Pelodiscus sinensis: one gene and its partners. The protein of the gene in region 3 purifies or fractionates together with the protein of the main gene of each other region. This does not show direct contact. Links are inferred from orthologs where the notes say so. Each region holds a gene or a part of one and is shown on either strand. Other genes may lie near its edges.

Region 1 (7,526 bases), on a different chromosome or scaffold from region 3:
GAAATGCCAACATCACTTTGCAGATTAGCCCCCAAGCCACTGAGGTTCTGTGGAAAATTTTCCCCAGGAGCTATTTAATCTGGGAACAGGAGAGACTCGGCAGCCGCGTGGAAAGTAGCGGCTGGTGCAGAGAACACCTGTCAGTTTTACTTTCCCTCTTCTCCCGCCGACAGATGGAATTAAAAGATAAAGCGCAAGCGGATGAAAGCACGTCTTAGCGTAGGCCCCAACCCAGCAAGCCACTTAGAGCTGCGAAACGTTAAGGAAGGCGAGTTGTCTCGCTGACATGAATTGGGCTGGGAAGCAGGCGCGTGTTTAAGTGTTCTGCTGGCTCAGAGCCCGAATGCTCATGCTTCAAGGCACGAGAGGAGAGCAAACTGACAGGGGTCAGGCAGAAACAGCCCTAGGAGCAGGCTGTTCTGTAATTAGCCAATCCAACTTTTCATCCTCTGAAGCAGCAGGGGCTCCCCGTGGTCAGTGACAGGTCACTGCTTGGAACTGGCCTGGCAAGCACCTGAGGAGCTGTCCTGGACATCCAGCGCCTTACTGGTCCAAAGAGCCAGGCCTCCCTCCCTGCGGAGCCGGAGACCTGCTGCCCCTCCTGTGCCTGCCGAGTCCAAACCAGGATTCGGGGAGACTGGGCAGCGCCGGGAGACCCACCAGGCCCGCCTGAGCCCGACACCGGCTCCGACAGGAAAGCAGCCTGTGCTCACGTCCACCCACAAGCCGCACCGGCAGGCGAGGCACGAACAGCCCTGCGGGCCCTTTCTGCCGCCAGGGGTGTCCCTTTGCACCGTTTGCTCGACTCGTTATCTCAAAGCTAACACAGGAAAGCCCCTGGCCAGGCAGGCTTGCAAACGCAGCTGCTGCCCTACGGACTTTTCCTCGCCGCTTTTCTCTGGCGAGCCGGGCCCAGCGGCCCCCTCCCGACAACTCCGTCCCTCCCCAGGACTCAGCGCCCACTCCCCGGGCATGGAGACGGCTCCAGGACACCTCTCCCGGGGGCCGTCGTGCCAAGGGGGCTGCTTTGGAGTGGCACTCGCCTGCAGAAAGGCCCGAGTCACCCGTGTTTGGGTGCGGACATGGGTCTTGGGGCCTGGGCTGTTGGAATGGAGGGTGGCGTATGGACGTCCCTGGCTCTGACCTTTGCCTCTCTGCCCGAAGAGCCTCGCCCGAGTCTGGATTTTAGTGATTGTCAGTGTCCACCTGCCCCCCCTCCCCCAGTCTTCCATGGATTTCGCCTCCCAGCAAGAGCCACAACACAGCGAGGTTACCAAACACCCGCAGGATCCAGGCTTTGGTGACTCGCCCAGGGTCACTTGGGAAAATCTGTGACAGGGGAAAACTGAACCAACCTCTCCCAAGTCACAGGCTACCGCTCTGACCACTGAGCCACCCTTCCCAAGCAACCTCCTGGCTTTACAGACTCCCTTTCCGTGCCAGCATTTCCCAGCACAGAGCCCCCCGTCCAGACCCAGCTCCGCCCCAGCAGCTGTTCCGGAGAGGGGGGAGACACGGAACATTTCACTCCCCCTCCAACAGAACAAAATCCCACACTTCATCAGGAGCCTTTCCAATGCCTCTCTGGAATGCGCAGCCGATGCCGATGCCGCAGCCCGTGCAGCTGTTGCAGGGAGAGCTCTCCCAGGGCTCGGGGCAATGGAAACAGGCCCTCTGCTCGGGGCCGGCTGGAGGAGCCGTTTGCACCGGTGTCAACGCCAGCGCCAGGCTGCTGGCAGATGCCAGGGCAGGAGGGACCCAGCCTGGTCACGCGGCTTGATCTCCCGTCTGTCGCAGGCACCCACCACCCAGGCGCCGAACCTGTCGCCCTCCTCTCCTCCCCTCCCCCCGTGGGAACCTAGACTAGCATGTGCCACAAGCAGAAAATGGAGGGAGGGGGGCGAGGGGCACCAGCGCCCGAGGCCCCCACAATGGCAGGGAGCTGAGTGAGATACCCCCTTGATAGTCCCAGCTAGACCCTCACCCAAGCACCGGAGGACTGGACGCGCCCCAACGTGCTGGCAGGGGGCCTGGCACAATGTGGGGGGAAGGGGGATGAAAGCCACTGAACCAAACTGTAACCCCCCCCCTATGATGGAAGCCACTTCAAGCCAGGGGGCGTTGCACCCCCTCCCCCCAGTTCCAGCCTCTGTGGGTGCAGGGCAATCAAGCCGCCTCGACCCGACGACGAGGATACTCCAGCTGGATTCTCCCCACACCCAGATCTAAAGGTGGCTCCGGGAACCAGGCCTCTGGGAGATGAACTCAAGCTCTGGCACAGAGCTGGGGACCCGGGCAAGCCGGGGGCAGCTGTTAATCCAGAGAGAATCCAGGGACCGAAAAGTTCTTTTGCAACAGTTTCGCCTGTTGGAGAACGGCAGGAAAGTTCAACAGGTCCCCGGGAATTTTCCTCCCCTGGCCACAGGAAAACCAGCCAGCGGCCTCGCCCCAGTCAAACAGCCCGGGGGCAGCTGGATGTTTCAGGGTTCCCGGCTCATCAGCTGAGCTCCAGCACCAGCGCCGCTCAGGACACCGCGAACAAGCAAGGCCCAGGGCCGCAGGCAGCGCGAAGATGATGACAAGCCAAGATTAGCCGGGGAGATCGGATTCATCCCCCGCGGCCAGGAGGCTCCGGGCGCAGCCGGCACTTCGGCGCTGAGGCATCGCCTTGCCCCGGCCAATCGGACTGTCCCAGAAGGGCCGGACAGCCCCATGCCCAGCCGGCCAGCGGGGGCCTGATCCTGCAACCCTCACTCACGGGAGCAAACTTGGCCCGTACGCCCCGGGGAGTCACGTTATTCCCCCGAGGGCGCAGGATCGGGCCCGAGGGCAGCCCCATTCGCGCGGAGAGGTGGGGAAGGGCGTAAGCTGCACAATGCGCTCCAGGAGCGCGTGACGTCTCCAGGCACCTCGGCCCCCAGCGCCCCGGAGCGCCCCTTTCGGCAGAGATCCCCCCCGATGCCCCTCGAAGCCGGGGGGGCTGGAGCGAGGGGCACCCGGGCAGCGCGGACCCCCGGCGGGGGGGGGGGGCGGTACTCACAGGTGCCGGTCCAGCCCCTCGGTCTGGTGGTGCAGGGCCACGGAGAAGCCGAACAAGCCGCCCGGGGTCGCTCCCTCCTTCAGCACCACGAAGCGGGTGTCCAGGTTGAAGGCGGCGCAGCCCCCGCAGCCCAGAGCCCCCCAGGCCAGGCAGAGCAGCGGCAGCCGCCCGCGATCCATGGCGGGTCCTGCCCGGGGCCAGGTGCGTCCTGCCGGGCGCGCGAGCCAGGGCCGGGGAGGGGCCAGCAGCGTCCTCCCCACCTTTGCGCTTTTCTTCCGGGCAACGGGAACAATCGCAGCAGCAAAGGAGTCTCCGCCTTAAAGGGGCCGCGGCGCTGCGGGGAGGGGCGCGGGGGCTGGTCCCCCCCCCCCCGGCTCAGGGCGCGTTACGCGCCGCTGCGCGCTTCTGCAGCGATTTCCAAAGTTGGGCAAAGTTGCGCCCTGGCGTGGCCCCCATGCCGGCGCCCGCGCTGGGTCTCTCTGCTTCCCACCTCCTGGCTGCCCGGTCCTAGCTGCCGCCCTCTGGGCCTGGGAGCAAGCCCGCAGGCCGGAGCGGGGACAGGCCGGCAGGATCGGGGCCCAGGGGAGAGAGAGGCCTCGTGCGGTGAGTTCGGCTCCGGGCTGTGGCTGGGTGCTTGGCCAAAGCTGCAGTGAATGACTGTAACACTGGACGTTTTCCCTTGCCCGCCCATGGCCCCCATGGCCTCCAGAGGCCCCTTCCAGCCCTCTGATCGGAGCCCAGCTCCCCACTCGCCATTCCCTCGCCCGCCCCAGGGCAGGAAGGGAGCTTTGGTGCCAGCCAGGCAGCCTGCTGGGGGTGGGGGAATCAGAGCCAGATGTAGGCTGTGGGAGAAGGCTGAATCGCCAAGTCTCTCTCCCCAACCCCATGGGACTCGGCTGGCAACAAGTTTACAAAGGGCCAAGTTGCTGGAGCATCCGACCCTCAATGGCTCTTAGCCAGGATGGGCAGGGATGGGTCCCCGGCCCGTGTGCCAGAGGCTGGGAATGGGCCACGGGGGAGGCATCACGTGAGGATTCTCTGTTCAGTTCCCTCCCTCCGGGGCACCTGGCGTTGGCCACTGTCGGCCGACAGGACCTGGGCTGCATCTTAATGAAGCAGAGGGGAGGGGGAAGGAACAGGGATAGGAAGAGGCAGGTGCATGGACATTAAGACCCAGCTGTGCCCCAGATTTTGGGTACCTCTCCTAGCTGCCTATTCTACTTATGGGTACGGACAGTTCCAGTGGGCAACCTGTTGCCCGAGGGCTGCTTGCAGCCCATTGGGGTTTTGCGTGCGGCCCACGAGATGCTCCCTGATCCCACTGGCTTCCAACAGTGTCACTTTTTTCCTTCCAGTATTGCTGAAGTGACGTGCACATGCTGCCAGGGCAGGTGACGTGAGGTGCTGGCTGCTGGCACCCCGCACTGACTGGGAGAGCCAGGCGCTCCCTCCTCAGCCAGTCACAGTGCTGCTCCAGTTCAACCCACGCCCCCACACAGTCTAGGGATGCAAGCACAGTGAGCAAAACTGCCCTGTCCCGGGAGAGCGGCTTGGTGACAGCTTTCCTGCGGCCCACTCGCTAGCCTCGGTTCCCAGCGCTGCTGCAGGGCAAGAATATGTTCCACACCCGCCTTGCGGGCCAGGTCTGTTGTTTTGCCAGCTTACTGGAAGCACATGGGGAACAATTGAGTGTGGGGTTTGCCTAGAGACTGTAACAGCACTCGCATCACCCCAGCGCCCTCCGAGCGGAGATGTGACGGCCTGTCCTCCACTACCCAGCAGCTGCCTTGAGCCTCCGGCATTCAGACACGACTCCGGCCCCGCTAGTCCCTTCGCGTGCAGTGGCGTCCTCGCCCGTTTTCTTCGCTAGAACAGCACCTGGTCACAGGGTGCCGGGCTCCAGCAATGCCTGCAGCGTGACTGTGCAAGTCAATGCATGTTGTGTCAGTGACTGGGATGAAAGGGGAAGGCTACGTTCCTGTTTAGTTTGTCGGCTCTGCGTCTTCCTGCCCTCGCCCTGTGGCCTGGCTCTCGGAAGCGTTAAATAACCACAAGAGCAGCAACTGCCTGGAACAGGCCCCATGAGGGTCTGCTGCTCACATGCCCCATTCCTGGTCACTTCACTCTCAGCATCCCACAAAGCACTGCTGCAAGGCAGTTTGTCCATGACCTAGAAGGACCCCAGATCCAGTTTGTACAACACTTAGCACCATGGCAACAGAACTGCTCTGCTGTGTGTCATATGCCCTATATTGGTAGGAGTTGGTGGAGATTCTCCTTTAGCTCCAGTGGCAGAGGCTCATGTTTTTGGAGCTGAGTTCTGTTTCCACTGAGGTCTGAATGGACTCAGAATGCCACACCATGACACGTGTCAAGTCCTAGAAGGCCAGCACTCTGACCCATTTCATGGAAAGATGTTAAAGCATTTTGCATATACCAGTCATGTGTCACAATGTCCTGAATTGCAAGTGGGGAAACTGAGGCATGGAAGTTAGTCTGAAGCCAGTGGTGGTGGAGGTAGCACCAAACTGCAGACTCCACGCCCCAGCCTTTCCTTCTCTCTTATCTGTTTCTCCTTTCAGCCACGTGTTTTACACACCCTTACTCTCACGTCGCAAGGGCCCTTTCAGGCTAGGGCTTTAGGAGCTCTGCCCACTTTCCAAATGTTTGAGCATGCCCGTGGTTGTGGGAGGCCGGCTGGCGGGCCCCACCTTGGTGGATTTGAAATGCTGCCCTTGCTGGAATTCTGGAGCAGTGAGGGGGCGAACGTGAGGCTGGATTCTCAGAGGCCCCGCGCTTGTGGAGTGCGACTGGACTTTGGGCTCGTCCCGGTGGAGACACAGGCCGGTGGAACGACTCCCCATTGCCCTGGTCATCTTCACACCTACCACGGGCTCCTGGCCTTGCACCCCTGGCCTTACATGCGGCGCGGGCCAGGGAGAAGCCGCTCCTGCCTGCACGCCGCGCTGCTCCGCCTTCCCACGCCGGGCGCTGCGTGGAGGGCATCAGAGCGGCCAGACCAAAGGTCTGTCCGGCCCAGTGTCCTGTCTGCCGACAGTGGCAGCCACAGGCCTGGTCCCCCAGCCCCCCGAGCCCCGCACTGCAAAAGGTCGCAGGCAGGGACACACATCCCCCTCCAGCCTTTGGATCCTTGCAGGGCTCTGGCAGGAGGGTTACTGGCCAATCAGAGCCAGCTGCCCGCGCGGGCCAGCACCAGTGGGCACCCTGCCACCTGCATATCCTGCCGCTACCTCGCTGCCCTGCCCTGGCTCCCGTCCCATTTCCTCTCCCTGCGCCAGCCGACCCCCAGCACTCCCGGGCCTGTAGCAAAGTGACTCACTTCCCCTCCCCCCGCAATGGATCCAGCCTCAATCCCTCCACACCCCCTTTGGGCCTGGAACCGCCTGGCAGTGCCCCCCAAGCACCCCACCTTTTCGCCCCCCCCCCAGCAAACTCCTCCATGACCTCATTCCCCGGGAAAGAGACGCCCTTCCTGAAGTGCGTGAGCACCGTGCCTGGAGGCCAGGGCTGCCAAGGGGCGCGGCTGTGGGGGGGCTCAGATTACAGTGCGGGGGTCCTGGAACAGGGGGGCCTGCATGGTGGGAGGGGCTTGGGTTCCTGGTCCTGCACGGGGGGGCGGGGGGGCAGGGGAGGGAGGAGACTGTCCTGGTTTCCCTCTGGGGACGCAGCCCAGACCTGGCTGGATTTGCCATGCAGGGGCTTGGCTGTAGCCCTCCCTGGAGTTTCCAGCTCAGGTGCACCCCACATCTTGGGCGGGAGAGGCGACCCCACTCATGAGAGCAGCTGGGAAAAGGCTAAAGCATCCCCAGCCAAGCTCAGCCGGCAGGCCCTGGGGCGCGGAACACGCAGGGATTTGCTTTGAGGTGGAGGGGCAAGATCAGCAGCTCTTGGGGGCTGAGGGCCAAGACTCCCTTCACGCCGGCTGGCGGGAGGTCACAGGCGTGTCCCGGTTCTGGCCTGTGCTTTCCGGGTCACCCGAGAGGGTCCCCTTGGGCCTCAAGCCAGAGCTGAGTTCCCATGGCTTGTTCATGTCGTCGTGAAGGACAGACACCAGGCCGGGCCCCACGGGAAGGACAGACACCAGGCCGGGCCCCACGGGAAGGACAGACACCAGGCCGGGTCCCACAGGAAGGACAGACAGCAGGCTGGGCCCCACGGGAAGGACAGACACCAGGCCGGCTCCATGGGAAGGACAGACACCAGGCCGGGTCCCACGGGAAGGACAGACACCAGGCCAGGCCCCAAGGGAAGGACAGACACCAGGCCGGCTCCATGGGAAGGACAGACACCAGGCCGGGTCCCACGGGAAGGACAGACACCAGGCTGGGTCCCACGGGAAGGACAGACACCAGGCCAGGCCCCAAGGGAAGGACAGACACCAGGCCGAGCTCCATGAGAAGGACAGACACCAGGCCGGGCCCCACGGGAAGGACAGACACCAGGCCGGGTCCCACGGGAAGGACAG
Region 2 (8,004 bases), on a different chromosome or scaffold from region 3:
ATTACTCTTCAGTACTGAGAAGGTAATTTCATGTTGTTAATTTTTTAAGATGTTTCAGTTAAATTTCACAGACTCAAGAGTATTGTGACTGTCCTCCAAGGGATTATTAGGGTCTCATGAATAACTGTAATTGTCCCCGCACATCTTTATACACTTACTAGTACAGGCCTGGACAAAATATGGCCCGTGGGCTGGCTCCAGCCCGTGGAGGCAGCGAGGAGCCTCAGGCAGGCTCCCAGGCTTGCCCCACCACCCTGCAGAATTGCAGCTGGCAGGGCTCTATTTCTGTTTTAAAACTGGAAGGGAGAGGGAAGTATTAGGAGCTGCCCCGCCCCCAGCACATTCTCATTGGCCGGTTCTCCTGCCCCAGATAGCAGTACCCTCCTACCCTGGGTCACATCCCAAACCCCTGCACTCCGAACCCTACACTCCAGTCCTCTGCCCTAGGTCACAACTGCCTGCTTCATCCCAACTCCCTCCCAGGCTCCAGGCTCCCTCCTGCACCCCAATCCCTTCCCCCAAGATCCCTTCTGCACCCAACTTCCATCTCAGACCCCCCATCTCCTCCATTAATATCATGGAAGAGTGTGACCCTCAACCACTTTCCAAAAATCGTGGGACTGCCCTCCTCCCGTCAAAAATTATTGCTCACCCTGTGATAGCAGCACTGACAGTACCATGGGGTTCTAATTATCAATAAAAAGATTATCTTAAGTTTAAGCGAAAAATGAGACAACTTTCAAGAATCACATGCATAAGCTGTGACATAGGGCCATGATGTATGATACTAACAGGCAATTTCTAGGGTTTAGATGTTTCCTTCTTTAGCTTTGGAGTAGTCCATGTCATCAGTATCTATGGAATTCATGCAGCCTCTCTGAAATCAATGACATTATACAGGGCACAACTCAGGGCAGTACGTGACCCTGGAAGTTTTAAGTAAGATTATCAAGTAACTTTCTGACTTCACTTCTCTCATGAACTCTGGATTCTCTTTTAACTTCATGCTTTTAATTAAAATAAAATTTAGTTCTGGTCTTTCATAAATCCTCACATGATTTGGTATCATCCATAGATAACATCTACAGTAAAATCAGTAAATGTGTTCAAATTTATACAGACAAGGTGGATTCGATAATTTCTTTCATTGGACCAAATAATGCTCCATTCAGTTACTCTCATGGTCCTCCCTGAGGGCATATAAAGGAACATTTCATTTTGTGGTTGGGTCTTCCATGAGCAATCCCTTTATTATCATGATTATGTTGGCAACACCCAATTTATTTGCCCATCCCTTCCTCAAGGATCTCGCATCTGTAGTGTGGAACAGGTTCAGTCTTGAACACCAGGGATTTTATTGCACATGCACACACACATCACCACTTGGACTGCTTTTGATTCAGTCAAGTAAGTCAGATGGAACCTAGGAAGATTATTTTTAACTCAAATTCAATTACAATTTTATTAAAAACAGTTTACTTAATCTCAGGACAATGTCTAGATTAATTCCTACATCAGCAAAGAGAGATTATCACAAGTTGCTGATCCATGATTCCTGTTATGCAGGAAGAATAAAGTTCATTCCTACAGCTAGAACATAGAGTGACCTACACAAAGAATGCTTCCCCAGTTATCACATCTAATATCATTAGCTCACAGACATTACCTTCCCCCCTCATCCCCCTTCTGTTCTGAAATTTGATTTGTCCTTTTCATATGTGTTCATTTTTTTAAATTGTATCCTTTGGTATATATGGTTGTGACTATTTTCTTCCACTATTTGATCTGAGGAAGTGGGTCTGGCCCACGAAAGCTCATCATCTAAGAAACCATCTTGTTAGTCTTTAAAGTGCTACTTAGTCCTGTATTTTGTTTCAGCTACCCTAGACTAACACAGCTGCATCTCTATCACTATTCTACACAAATGGGAGCAAATTTAAAAATCAGCAGTAACTACTAATGTAAACTAAAGATTTACTAGCATGCATCAGTTTCTTCATTGGCTTCAGTCTGCTTTTCCCTAGTGTGAGTACACTTGCTTAAGCGCTTCAGTCTCATGCTACTACTACTGCAGCTGCTGCTGCCTTGAGTTGAGAACAGCGGAGGCCTTTGGGGGCAACGTCCCTTTGTTGTCATACGCCCCTGCGGAATTCTTTGTTCGCATGAGCAGGAATGCAAGGTCAGCGTTTGCCACCAGGCTCACACGTCTCGCCGCACTAGTGCTGCCCCCCGCTCCCCCAGAGCCCTCGGTAGTGCGGAATCCCTACGGCAGAGAAAAGAACCGCGGTGATTTTCAAGGGGCCATTTCTGCCGGAGCTCGCCCTGGCTGCTGCCCCGGCGCACAGCAGCAGAGGGTCTGGGGCGCCCCGGGGTTTGAAGCCACGGAGCTTAGCTCAGACATTTTGTTTCAAAGCAGGGAGCACACCCAGCGGGTGCTGTGGGCGGCAACACGGCCTGCCCCGCTGCGCCAAGCGGCGGCGGTCGCAGCCCCACAACTTCTGCCAACAGGTGGCTGTTCCGCTTGTGCGCGGCCCGCAGCCAGGAGCCGACCCGCCAGCACGAAACCCAGCCTCGCCCGCTTCCCGGAGGCGGCCCCGGGCTGCAGGAGAGCGGGAGGGAGGGACGCGCCGCTCCCACCTGCAGGCTCACCCGGGAAACGCGCGCGCAGCCCAAGGAGCCGGCGGCGGAGTTTGAAACCTGCCCCCCACCGGAGAGATGCCCGCGCCCCCTTCCCCTGCCCGCCGCGGGGACCCCCGGGCGCAGCCCGCAGGAGCACCAGGCAGGCAGCGAGCCAGGGCGCTGCAGCCTGGCGGCGCCACCGGCTCCTGCCTTGTCCTGGAGCCTGGCGGGGCGGCGGCCCCCGAGTCGCGCTGCAGCGGGAAAGTTTCTGTGCGGAGGGGAGGGAGAGTTCCCCGGCCCGGGGCTACTTACAGCCTCTTGTCCTGCGGCGCCAGCTGCCAGTGCATGGCCAGGGAGAAGCCGAACAGGCTGCCCGGCTCCCCTCGCCGCAGGATCACATTGTCCGCGTCCAGGTTGAAGGCGGAGGCGAGGCAGGACAGGAGGGACAGGTAGAGGAGCGTCTGCCCGGGAGCCATCCGTTCAGGCTGGGAGCGGGAACCTGCTACTGCTGCTGCCCCTCGCCTGAACGCGCCTGGCGCTCCCCGCGCTGCCACTCGCTCAATGAGCCCGTTGTTCTCCTGAGACTCCCAGCTTCGCACTAAGTGACGAAAAGAGGCGAGCCCCGCCTCCCCCACCCGCCGGGCTGGGCTCGGCTCGGCTCTGCGGCCCTCAGCCTCTCCCTGCCCTGCCCTGCCGTTCTGTCCCTGCCAACCTCCAGCCAGTGAGTAGCGCCACGAGGCTCTTCCAGACGGAAAAGCGCCGCTAAGCAACCCCTGCAACTGTCCAGGATTTAGAGCGTCGCCCAGCCCTGCAGCCTTTCCCAGGCTCCAGCCAGCCCTGCCCTATTCATTCCCTCCTCCCCCACCAACGTCTTGCCGGAGCACTCAAGTGCTGCAATCAAGGGTCACCTGCAAGGGTGCTGTAGCTGCCTGGTTACTTATTCCCAGTTCCTTATTCCGGGTTCTAAAACAGAAATGGAATAACTCACTGGGGTTCCAGTACAAAGAAGTGACAACAACTCCCGAATTACCCAAATCATCAGTATCTATGTCCATCTTACCTTGGGGAAAAGAGAAATTAAGAGCAGGGGTATCACACTGCAGCAAAATAAAGTTTTGTATCACTGATCTGCCCCCAGGCTGTTCAGAACCCTTCCACAGACACAGAAGAGTTAGGGTGACCCAAGAACTATGTTGTCATTTACATCTAGTCAAACCCCAGTTAATTATTCAAATCAAGAGTCCTTGAATAAGTAACCAACACCAAGCAAACATAAATCACCCAAGCACATTGATTTCATTCCCTTCTGGTGGCTTGGTCCCTCAGTCTAAAAATGATACCAGATGCTCCACCAAGGGCACCTCCCAACACCAAGCTGTCAGTTAAAAAAAGCAAACTGAAATGCTGAAAATTGATTTACTAATTTAACTAGCATGGAATATATAACAGCAATAACAAGAAATATCCAATAGTAAATACATCCCAGGTTATGAGATAGTGACTACATTTCTAAAACATTTTAAGAACCCATTGCATCTTTTGAAGAATCCATTCTTGACAGCAGCACTCAGAACTTCATCTGTTTCCAGTGTTCACTATGGCTGTGTCTAGACTGGCAAGTTTTTCCACAAAATCAGATGATTTTGCGGAAAAACTTGCCAGCTGTCTACACTGGCCGCTTGAATTTCCACAAGAACACTGACGATCTCATGCAAGATCGTCAGAGTTCTTGCGGAAATACTGTGCTGCTCCTGTTCATTTGCGCAAGAGGGCCAGTGTAAACAGCACAGTACTGTTTTCCGCAAAAAAGCCCCGATGGCTAAAATGGCGATTGGGGCTTTTTTGCGCAAAACTGCGTCTAGATTGGCCACAGACGCTTTTCCGCAAAAAGTGCTTTTCCGTTAAAAGCATTTCCGGAAAATCATGCCAGTGTAGACGTAGCCTATAGGTATTCCTCTAAAGATAAACTAAAACAAAAACCACAGTCACCAATGTCAAGTATCAGAGGGGTAGCCGTGTTAGTCTGAATCTGCAAAAGCGGCGAGGAGTCCTGTGGCACCTTATAGACTACTTCAGTTAGTCTATAAGGTGCCACAGGACCAATCACCAATGTGTATCTATGTTAGTTATTTTAGTCCCTGCTGGAAAGCACACAGAAAAAAAAAACTTTACATATACATAAGTGTCTTCTCTAAACAGTCTTCAGAGCATTTGAGCCTCAAAACTCCATAATCTCTGAAGAGATCTGAGATTGCCCAACTCCTAATCTACAACTGTTAAAAATAGTATGCATATTATCTCATGCAGTCACGCAGAACACTGCAGTGTACATGACATTGGAAGGATAGAGTGTCAGCAGTGATTTTAGTTTTGTTTGAAGTTAACTTTTATTACTACATCCTGCATTTTCTTTTCCTAAAGTAAAGTTTAAAAAAAAACTATAAAAAAAAATCAATGGTGGCATGCCATAATAGTTTTCCTTGGCCATTAGTAAGTATTCTATGAAAGTAGGGGCAGGCCAAATTTCAGCTACTAAGATCAGCCATGAATCAGGAGTGATTATATCTATGCTTCCATAGTATGGGCCTTCCCAGGTCTTTCATCAAAATGCAAATATCATCATGACCCAAATGTACTTATAACACGATGATGGCTTGTGACTAGAATCTATTAGACTTGAAGCTGACATGTTCAGTTTAATCAAGACAATACTGTACATGACTGGTTTGAACAGGCTGGTGTTTTTTCTCCTAAACCTTTTGCCAAACCCCTATGACAACATTACTGTAGTGGAATTATTTTGAGTGTTCCTCTATGAGCAATTGAGTCTGCTTGAAATGCCATTCAGGCAGATTTTTAAAGATTCATTTTAGCAAGGTCATCATAATATACTTATTATTTTCTTATGGTTATTGATACTGCAAATAAATTTTTAAAGAAGAGAAAATAAATCTATCTTCTTCTCTTATGAAGCGCCACCCCCCACCCCCCAAATGTGCTTCCATAGCCTGGAAATCAAAACACGTATCTGTTGAATTAGGCTCCATCTCTTCCTGTCTGATTTATTCAAAACCATTATCCATAATCTAGTGTTCTGTTACCTCACAATCATTCCTCATGGCATAGACTTGTGTTAACACAAAGACTAGACTGATTTCACAGGGGGAGAGGGCTGGACTCATAAGGGAGCAAACTTATTACAATTCATAAATGTGATGGTAAGTAGCAATTACTAGAAAACAAAAACAAAAACAAAAACAAAAACAAGTGTGAACCCTTTAAAAATAATTTTGAGTTTTCCCCACAAATAACATCCAGCCTGTATACCAGGGCTGGGCAAGAGACTGTCAATGGGCCGGATCTGGCCCACCAAGCACTTTGATCCAGCCCATGGCAGCTCCACCACTAATGCGTTGCCTGGAAGCTGCTGGGGAGGCACAAACCCTTTCAGCTGCTGCTATTTAAAGGGCTTTCACCTCCCCTGCCGCTCCCAGGCAATGCATTAGTAACGGAACACAGGAAGCGCAAGCCCTTTAAAATTGCTGCTATTTAAAGGGCTCACAACCCCTGGAGCCGGAGCCAGAGCCGGGAGCCCTTTAAATAGCAGCAATTAGAAAGATTCCTGGCCCATGGCCACCCTGCGGCTCCCCCATACTCAAGCCAATCAAGACCTGGGGACAGGAGAGTACACAAAGTCTCCTCCCCCCGCCAGGGGCACAAAGCACCAGCAGGCTGTTCAAACAGCCAGCAGTTTTCTCTAAGCGCTTCATTCCCTTGGCAGTGAAGGGAGGGGAACTAAGACTTCATATGCTCCCCCACCCCGAGGCCAATCAAGGTGAGTAGGCTGTGAAGTCTCTTGCCCCTGCCCCCTTCAACCTGAGGCCCCACCCTTTCCAGGACAGCCCTCAACCTCTTCAAAAATTATTGCCCACCCCATTATATACTACAGTATTTTGAAAAAGTAGCAATAGCTCTGAATAACTTTGGCAGAAAGTAGGCTCATTCAAGTACTCAAACTAGACAATGGTGTCATGTTACATTTATTGGATCCCTCTCGCCAATGCTATCTTATACATTTTTATTTGTTCACTATTAGCCACATCAGTGGCGAGAGGATATCAATTTTACAGTTTCTTATTACCAGAATTAGTGACATTTAAAAATGTAGTTACATTGAAACCTCTCCTGGGACAAATAGAAGAAATGGATTTTTTGTCAGATGGAACACAGATTCACTCAAAAGTTTTAGAGTTTCATTGGAATAGTCTCAAACAGGTGAGACAAGGTGGATGGAGTAATATTTTTATTAGACCAACTTCTGATCATGAGAAAAAAAATTAAGCTATAGATGATCTATTATCTACATTTCACTTTATTTTCTTGAATATGTCCTTCCAGGCAGGGGAGGGGCAGCAAGTGTGAAAACATAGGTTTTCTTCTTTATTCAAGTGACTTATGATATTGCAGAGATTAGGCCACATGCAGAAAAATGTTATGGGACATCTTCTAGCAACCAACACATTCTTACACACTTTTTATTTGGTCCTATCCCAGTATAAAGGAAAATGAAAATTTGGTATGATGATCAATTAGCTTTGACTGCTATAATAATATACATCATAATGCAATGAAAATAACTCACTACCCATGGCTACTGTCTCAGCCAGCTCAAAGCCATGTGTCCTTTCTCTAGTCTGACATGCTCTGCCATAGCTGAGCTTTCAGCTGCCTGATTATTAATGGCATGTTGGTATTCTGCCAGATGGGCTGCAAGACATTGGCCTGCTGTGCCTACATATTGAGCATCAGTGCCAAAAATGCTCTCCTCCTCAATGTAGCAATTGTTGATTTAATTATAAGAACTAATTTTTCATTTTTAGAAATGAAAGTGAAGAACTGAAGCCAGATAAGACATTTTAATCTATGTTCTAGAGAAACTCTAAAGAACAATGCCTTGCATTGTTGACCCTTTTACCTTTCAGATTACAAACACACCTTACATTTATTTGGCATAAAAAGTAGTGCATCATTTACTGGTATACGTAGATGCACAGCTGTGTATCTTTCACACTGCACATTTAAAAAAGCAAAAATGTGTTGACGTATCCCCTATTCTTCCTTATTAAATTCCATATACTCATTGATTATATTTAATTTCAGATGGAAAATTGGCTCAGGCCTGCATTACTAAAACTAGTTACAAGCTTCTCTAAATTCTTAATTGCATCAAAGATTTATACATGGAATCAACTCTTTTGAATAATTTCCTTAATGCAATGCCTTTACAAGTTTTAGAATTGCTAGCTTTCCCTGAAGACTTAGTTCAAAATAGCTGATGCCTCTGAATAGCAAAGCAAGCAGGTGAATAGACTATTACTCTTTTGT
Region 3 (7,431 bases):
TGAAACCCCTACTCACTGTCTGAGGAAACTCTCGATACCTAGGGAAAGGGACATCTTGCTGCCCACCCAGAAGCTGGCAAAGAGGGCTGGGGGATGCAACTGAACTCAGGAGAGCAGCAGTGAGAGAATGCAGAACTCAATAGAAAACGTCTCAAAACTTCTCTCAAAATTACTGCAGGGCTGCAAGACTCTTGTACCAAATCACGGGAGAGAGTGGGAAGTCTCTGGAATACTGATCTAAATAGGCACTTTTGGACTATTGCCTTTAAAGATGTAAAACACAGGAAGACATGGACTACTGGAGCCAGAACCGTAAAGCAGCCAGCTAGAGAACAGAAGCTGTTTAGCAAGCTGCCGCAAATAATGCACAACAGGTTCGGGTCAGGCAGTAAAGAGCATTGAAACCGCTGAGGGAAAATGTAGTGTAAGAGGGGCTTTATGGGTCAGAAGCTGCAGATCTCAAAAAGCAACTTATCTCTTCTGGTCACAGAGTTGTCTGTCATCACAGTTGGGCTCAGTAACATTCACTCCCAGAATAGAAACAAACAATTCCCTTTACTGCCGGAGGCACTAGGTTTGTTAATCATGTTTCTCCCAGTAGTGTCTAAAACTGCCACCCAACAATGCAGTCCCGTTGAGCTAGGCAATGTACAAACACAGATGTGACATTTGGCAGCCTGTGTTACCTAAAACACAGATTAAAGTCCAAGAAAACTTACTACCTTTGTTAGACCGAGTAACAGATCAGCCATGGAACACAAAGGTTGCACCTGTTTCTCCCTGAACTCCACTCTTCCTAGTGTATGACAAGAGGCAGGATCACAACAGCAGCATTACGGAAGCCCAAAGTAGGGATGTTAAAGGTTAACTGGTTACCTGGTAAGCATTAGGTTTACCGGAATGCTCATTGCATAACCAGTTTCACAATGAACCACAGCAGGCTGGAGCAGCCCTGGCTTAATCCAGCCTACTATGAGGGGAGGGTAGGCAGAGATGCGTCTACATCAGCTGTGGGGAGCCTGCCGGCATGGAGGTGGCTGTCAGTACCCCAGCTGCTCCGACTCAGCATAGCATCCCGGCCCCAGGAGCATCCTGACCCTGGCTGCATCCCAGTGGGACTCTGGTGTTCCAGCCACGTCCCAGTGATGTCCTGGCCTCAGCCACACAGAGCAGGCAGGTGATTTTCTGGCCCTGGCCAGCTCCAATTCTTACCAGTCTTGGCAGGCCTCAGGACCACTCCCCCCACCCCAGCCGTATCAGAGCAACGGACAGGCGGAGAAACCAGTTAAATGTTAAAATTTTAGCCATTTAGCCAGTTAACTATTTAAATTCTTTTTTACATCCCTAGGCCCAAAGGCAAACTAAGTGCTTGGGGTTGTAAAAACCCCTCTGGGACAGGTATGGTCTTCCTATCTTCACAGCAAACTAATACCCAGAAGCTGAGGTTTTAACTCAGAAGCGGCTTTTCCGAGCCTCTTCAGAACAACCATTTTTAGTGATGGGGGAAGACCTTTCTGTTCCATCTTCATGTTGAGTTAACCAACGGAGAGAACCTTTGGCCTGCATGTTAACGAGACTGTCACGCTAGAAGCCTCCATCAGAACCTAAACCATTGTAAACCCATCATGGACTGCAAAAACCACCCAGGGATCCCAAATGGCTGGCTTGTAGGAAATAACTTTTCAGCAAAATGGCTGCCACCTCGGAAACCTTTATCCAAACCCTTGATCCATAGGAAAGGCTAGCACTTTGTGAAACCCCAGGGCAAGAAAGCAGATGGGGTGAGGAGGAGAAGATAAGATAAGTGACAAGGTTTTTAATGGGGCATCCAGAGGATTTCTCTGTTAAATATGCTCCTCACTACCAACAAGCTGTTGCAAAGGGGTGGATTCATTCTCAAGGGTTTCTTTGATCACGACACCCTAATGGCGATCTAGCCTTTCCACTCGATGCCATGAAGCAAAGGCTGCTGGCGAATGCTCTGCATGTGGTGCTACAGTCACACAGCTCCAATCACTTTCAAACTGGGAGGCAGGGAAAACGGAGACGCAAAACAGCAACACATGGAGAACAACACTTGAGTGGATTTCCTAGTAAATGTGCTCTCTGGCCTGCCTCTCTCTCTCCCACCTTCCAAAGATTTCACCAATTAATATTTAACCCAAAAGGCCAAAACTTATTTATACAGAAGGGTAGCCTTGAACAAAGCAGATGGGGGGGGGGAGGAGAAGCTTTACTCAACAAAGTTAAGAGACTATCCAGAATCCTGTGCTATAAACAGCCTCTGCAGATTTCCTAGCATCAGAGGAAGTCATGTTACATAGTCCTGTTATAAGAAAGTGCAACAAACTTAATTGCAGAACCAGGACTCCCAGTGGGGAGGAGCAATGACTTGTGAACACAGCGCTCCAGCGGATCCCAGACAGCATATACCCTCTTGGACAAGCCCCTGAGTCGCTTTAAGCCTCAGACTGTACTAGATACACTGAAGGGGGAGAGTATTCTCACGGGCCATCTCGGCCGCATGGAAATTCGTGGCCTTCAAGCGGAGGCCAGGGCACTGCCCCAGGGAGCTGGGATTTGTTCCGCTCTTGGGGAGGGGGACACTCTCCTGTCACTGGCTGCTCCTTCCCAAAGTGCTGGAGGAGGGGGGGGGGGGGGGGGTGTAAAACGTTGTTTTTGCGCCGCCCCCCAGCTTGGGACCGTCCCGGTTTCAGGTGCAAATGGAAACCGCCCTGCAAGCAGGGAGCCCAGACACTTTGCGAGGCGAGGACTCTGCGGGAAGAGTTGAGCCGCCCTATGTAAACAAGGCGCATCTGGGGCGGCAAGGAAGCAGGCAGGGGAAGGCGCTGCTCTCCCCCCACCCCCGCTAGCCTAGGGGCCGCGCCCGGGAGCGTCCAGTCCCCAGCACCACCCGGCCGCCGGACGAGCAGGCTGCAGGCAGAGCGCTGCCTTTGTTCTCCCTGCTGCTGTTTCAGGTGCGCCGCGCTCCCCCTCCCCGCGTCCTGCTGTGACCATTGGGCGCTGCTGCCGGGCGGGCAGAGCCCCCGAGCGCCTCCCTTTACCTTCTCCCGGCGCGCCGAGCCCCACGCGACGGTAGCAGGCGAGCGAGTCCGCCCCTCCTGCGGCAGTGGAAACAGGCAGCGAGCCCTGCGCTCTGCAGCCGCGGCTACAGACCCCTCCCAGTGCCCGCTCCCGCAGCTGCTGCGCCACACGGTTTGAACCAGCGCGAAGCCGCCTCGCCGCTCACCCGGAGACGCCTAGCGGGCAAAGGGGCGCCCTGAGTAAACCGGAGAATTGGTCCAATAAACGCTATAACCTCCCCCGCCTGGGCCGCCTACAACACTGCCCGCAGCCCCGTGGCTCCCCAGACCGACAGCCCCACACCCTGGTTCTGTTTGGATTGGTTGAAACTGAGTCGGTTTGATTTTTTACTCAAGGAGAAAAGCCAAGGCCAGCTGGGCTCTGGAAGTTATGAGCCACTTAGAAAGCTCAAGAAAAATCAGGTGTACAATGAAATATTTGTTTTGGATTGTGTTGCGTACAGATGCATGTAGGTACTTACCTCCCCACACTTTCCTGCCACATTCCTCAGTGGCGCCTTTGGGCTCAGACTTAACTTTCCAAACATCTGGGGGAGAGGGAGAGATTGAAGGGGGCAGGACAAGATAAAGAGGGGGAACATTTAGGCCAGTGGCTTTCAAACTTCTGTCTCATGAACCAGTTGAAGAAAATTGTCAGTGCCCATCAGGGCTGGCTCGAGCCCTTTTGGCGCCCTTGGCCCAGGAGTGCGGCGCTGCCCCATGGCGCACGGCGCACGCGCGGGCCCACCTGTGTGGCACAGGCCTGCCCCCCTAGGGTGCGCAGGCCTGCCCCCGGACGCACGGCGCATGCGCATGCCCGCTACGGCTGCTGGCGCACAGCCCGGGGCCTGCCCCCAGGCCGCACGAGCTGCCCAGCCCGGCCCTGCCTTGCGCGTGCGCTGGGCCGTGCAGGGACCTGCAGCCATGGGGGGAAGGGTGCTACGGGAGCCAGGCGCGCGCAACACCTGATGGCAGCTGTAAGGGATGCCATGTGCCCCTTACAGCTGCCATCAGGCACCCGTCATCGGTTGGCGCCCCGGGCAGCTGCCCAGCTCACCCATGCCTCCGTCGGGCCCTGGTGCCCATCACCCACCACAATTACTTCTTTTGACTAGAGTGCAGGCTCTAGGGCAGGGCTGAAGGATGCAGGAGGGGGCTCTGGACTTGGACAAGGGCTTAATTCTGGTGGATTCCATGCAGCGGTCATGCTAAGGCAGGTTTCCTGCCTGTCCTGGCATGATGGTATGCACTGTGCCCTGGAAGTGGCCAGCAGCAGGTCCAGCTCCTAGGTGGAGGTGTGCAAGGGGCTCTATGCCCTGCTCCCCATCCCCACTTGATTTCTTTGACTCCTGTGCCCAAACTGTTCCTGGCCGCAACGTGGTCCTCAGTGCTGGGAGAGGCAGGAAGCCTGCCTTAGTCTACCTCCTCTGGTTACCTTACAGCAAAATGACCCAGGGCTTGGTATTCCACCACCCAGTATGACCCATAGTTTGAAAACCACTGATTTAGGCTGAGATTTTTAACACAAACTGCCATCAATGGGCATCACCCTATTCAGCATTTCAGAAGAGTTTCTGAACCCTGATAAAAACCCATATGCTCCTATGTGCAGGAGCTTAAAAAGTCATGAGCCTGAGGACCCTAAAATTGATGGGTATTTTTTGTGGTTTTAAAAGACAACTGTGTTTATCTGTTCACTAACCTCCTTCCCACCACCACTTGGATGAGACAAGAACAGAGCTGCCAAGTCTCCCAAAGATTACAGAGAAATAATTTTTACAATGCTAGTTACCTCTATCTTCCACAGTAGCTGTGCTTCTCCAAGGGATTGTCACTCCCCACACATTTTTGGGTCAGGAGGTCCTGCTGTAATTACCCCCTTCTCAGGCTAATGGCCAACAACTTCCTGTATGTTATTGTGCTATTTGATGTTTTTCTTAAAGCCCCAACTCCTGGAATCATAGGATTCCATGAGACTCTCACCTTTCATTTAGAAATAAATAGAGGTAATCTTCTAGCTTTCTTGGTTACTCAGAAAACCTTGAAGAGTTAATGCAAGTGTGCCCTAAAGGCTAAACACCAGAAGACCAAGCAAGCAAAATACAATTTCATGATTTTTAAGAGGCATGCCTGGTTTTGGGGGGAGCTAAAGAATGATTTTGGAATGCTTGAGCGGGGGTGTCATACACACAAGTTACAGCACCATCCCCCTTTGCATCACATGGCAAAATAGTGCCCAGCCAGAGGTTGTGCCCTTCTAGAGGCTCCAGCAGGAAATATACTTTTTTGTTTGAGACACATTCACTAATGAGATTTCTACATGGCAGACTAGAAGCCATGTCAGACTGGTAGGTTGCCTCATCCCTCCATTATTTTCCCATACGGGTTAGCCTAAATATCTCAGAATTAGGATATGCCTCTATATAAGGAACTGGAACAAAGGAAAACTCTTGTCCAACTCAGGAAGCAATAGTAAATGACAAGGAATCCTGTGGCACCTCATAGACTAACAGATTTCTTGGAGTATAAGCTTTCGTGGGATATGACCCACTTAGATGCATGTAGTGGAATCTTTGTGGGTCTTATCCCACAAAAGCTTATGCTCCAATAAATCTGTTAGTCTATGAGGTGCCACAGGACTCCTCGTCACTTTTGCAGATTCAGACTAACACCACTACCCCGCTGAAATTAGTAAATGAGAGGACTAGATGTGCCACACTTTCAAGGCTCATATTCTTTTGTTTGTAGAGGAGTGTGGGGGGAGGGGAAGGGGGATTTCTTTGCAGCTATATCTATGGGGCAGCCCCCTCATACATAAATATTCACCTCAATCAAAACAGAGGCACCCTCTTCCCAGTAAAGAGGAGAATAAGTTCATATTACAGTTGACCTGAGGTTATGAGAAAGGGGCTATAAAATGGAAGAAAGAGGTGATGACGAGGAAGGAAGAGGCAGATTTTAAGTATGTGTGGCAGGTGTTAGAGAGAAAACTGCTCTTAGAGTGTGTTGGGGAAGGGGAGCTGAAGCAGAGCACCTTGTCCTCTTCCTGGCTTCAGGGAGCCAGCTTCCACACCCACCCACCCCTTTTCCTGAATCAGGGAGAGTCCCCTTCCTGTTCAGCCTATTGGAATCAGTGTGTATGGGGCAAGAGGAAAAGAACCTCTCTCTGCTTGATCTGTACTCTGTTGGAAGGAGAGCAAGGGATGGGGCAAGAGTATAGAGACGGCAAAGTGCACTCTGGGAGGGTGTTTGAGTGTAGAGCCGGAGCAGAAGTGACCATGAAATGGAGAAGGGGAGTGTGCATGGGTGGTGGGTGAAGGTAAAGGCTCAGGGAGGCAAGCCCTCCCCTGCCCCCACACTCCCACCCCTTCTGCCCAGGCCCTCCCCCCTCAGTATCAGAGGAAGATGAGGCTCCACACAGACAGAGGCTCCTGGAGCACAGGGAGAGAAGAGGACATGCAGCCCCAGTAGGCAGAGTGTGGGTGGGGCCAGGCTGGTGGTTAGGGAAGGCAGTGCCTTCCTCCACCTAACATACCTGCCACCCATGAAAGAGTGGCTATCCTCGGCCCAGCTGGAAAAAGAGGAGCATGTTGATGTTTCAGTGCCTGGGTAGGGTCAGATCTCCTCCTGTTTGGGGACAACAATGGGTACAGCAGACTGAACAGGTAGTAGCAATACACCTGCACATACTTGGGACAAGCTCCAGTGAGGAGTCAACCTACAGCCTCACACCAGACTCCTAAGGCAGTGGCCAGATGGTTCATTTTACAACATTTGCCTCATTCTGGGTCAATTGAGGCATTCCTCTCCCCTAGGTTTGGGGGAGCCTTGCTCAGGGCTCATTTCTGGCACTAGCAGATGGGGAAAGACCACCCACTCTTCTCACATGAAGGCATTTCCGTCCTCTGCGTGCCTTGCGGCAGGAGGGGCCCTCTCCCCACCCTTCTGCTGTAGCATTGTGGAAATAACTATTTTCAGCAAGAGCGTCCCTTTCTCCAGACCCTATTATTGGTTGTATTATGTAGCATCTGAAGGCTCCATTGACATTAGGGCCCTGTTGTATAATGCACTCATCCAAGAATAATCCCCATTCATAGGGGAAGAACTAAGGTGGAGATTAAAGTCCAGAGCCTTGAGGGAGGGAGGAGCCTACACACCGTTGAGGATTGGGCCTAAATGACTTGTTCAAGATAACAGTGAAGTCTGTGTCAGAGTTAGGACTGAAGCCAGATCTCCTGTTGCTAAGGCACTACTAGACCAGATCAAAGGGATCATTTTTCCTCTCAATCATATAGGTTGCCAGGTGTCTGGTTTTCTACCAAACAGTCCAGTATTTGCACCCTCTGTC

Evidence for each region. Proteins that work in one complex are often made in the same cells at the same time.
Region 1: the proteins of CD151 (region 3) and ITGA3 purify together in Homo sapiens (co-immunoprecipitation; 4 studies listed by BioGRID and IntAct, with this or other methods). This does not show direct contact. The link is inferred for Pelodiscus sinensis from reciprocal best matches to the Homo sapiens genes CD151 and ITGA3.
Region 2: the proteins of CD151 (region 3) and ITGA6 purify together in Homo sapiens (co-immunoprecipitation; 3 studies listed by BioGRID and IntAct, with this or other methods). This does not show direct contact. The link is inferred for Pelodiscus sinensis from reciprocal best matches to the Homo sapiens genes CD151 and ITGA6.

Annotation. Positions count from the first base shown.
Region 1 is NC_134739.1:15,236,317-15,243,842, reverse strand, and holds the start of ITGA3 (integrin alpha-3), read right to left. Parts: upstream 3,394-7,526; 5' UTR 3,220-3,393; coding exon 3,041-3,219; intron 1-3,040.
Region 2 is NC_134717.1:41,892,657-41,900,660, reverse strand, and holds the start of ITGA6 (integrin alpha-6), read right to left. Parts: upstream 3,394-8,004; 5' UTR 3,096-3,393; coding exon 2,932-3,095; intron 1-2,931. UniProt on the Homo sapiens protein: Integrin alpha-6/beta-1 (ITGA6:ITGB1) is a receptor for laminin on platelets. Integrin alpha-6/beta-1 (ITGA6:ITGB1) is present in oocytes and is involved in sperm-egg fusion.
Region 3 is NC_134714.1:120,080,615-120,088,045, forward strand, and holds the start of CD151 (CD151 antigen), read right to left. Parts: upstream 3,245-7,431; 5' UTR 3,066-3,244; intron 1-3,065. UniProt on the Homo sapiens protein: Structural component of specialized membrane microdomains known as tetraspanin-enriched microdomains (TERMs), which act as platforms for receptor clustering and signaling.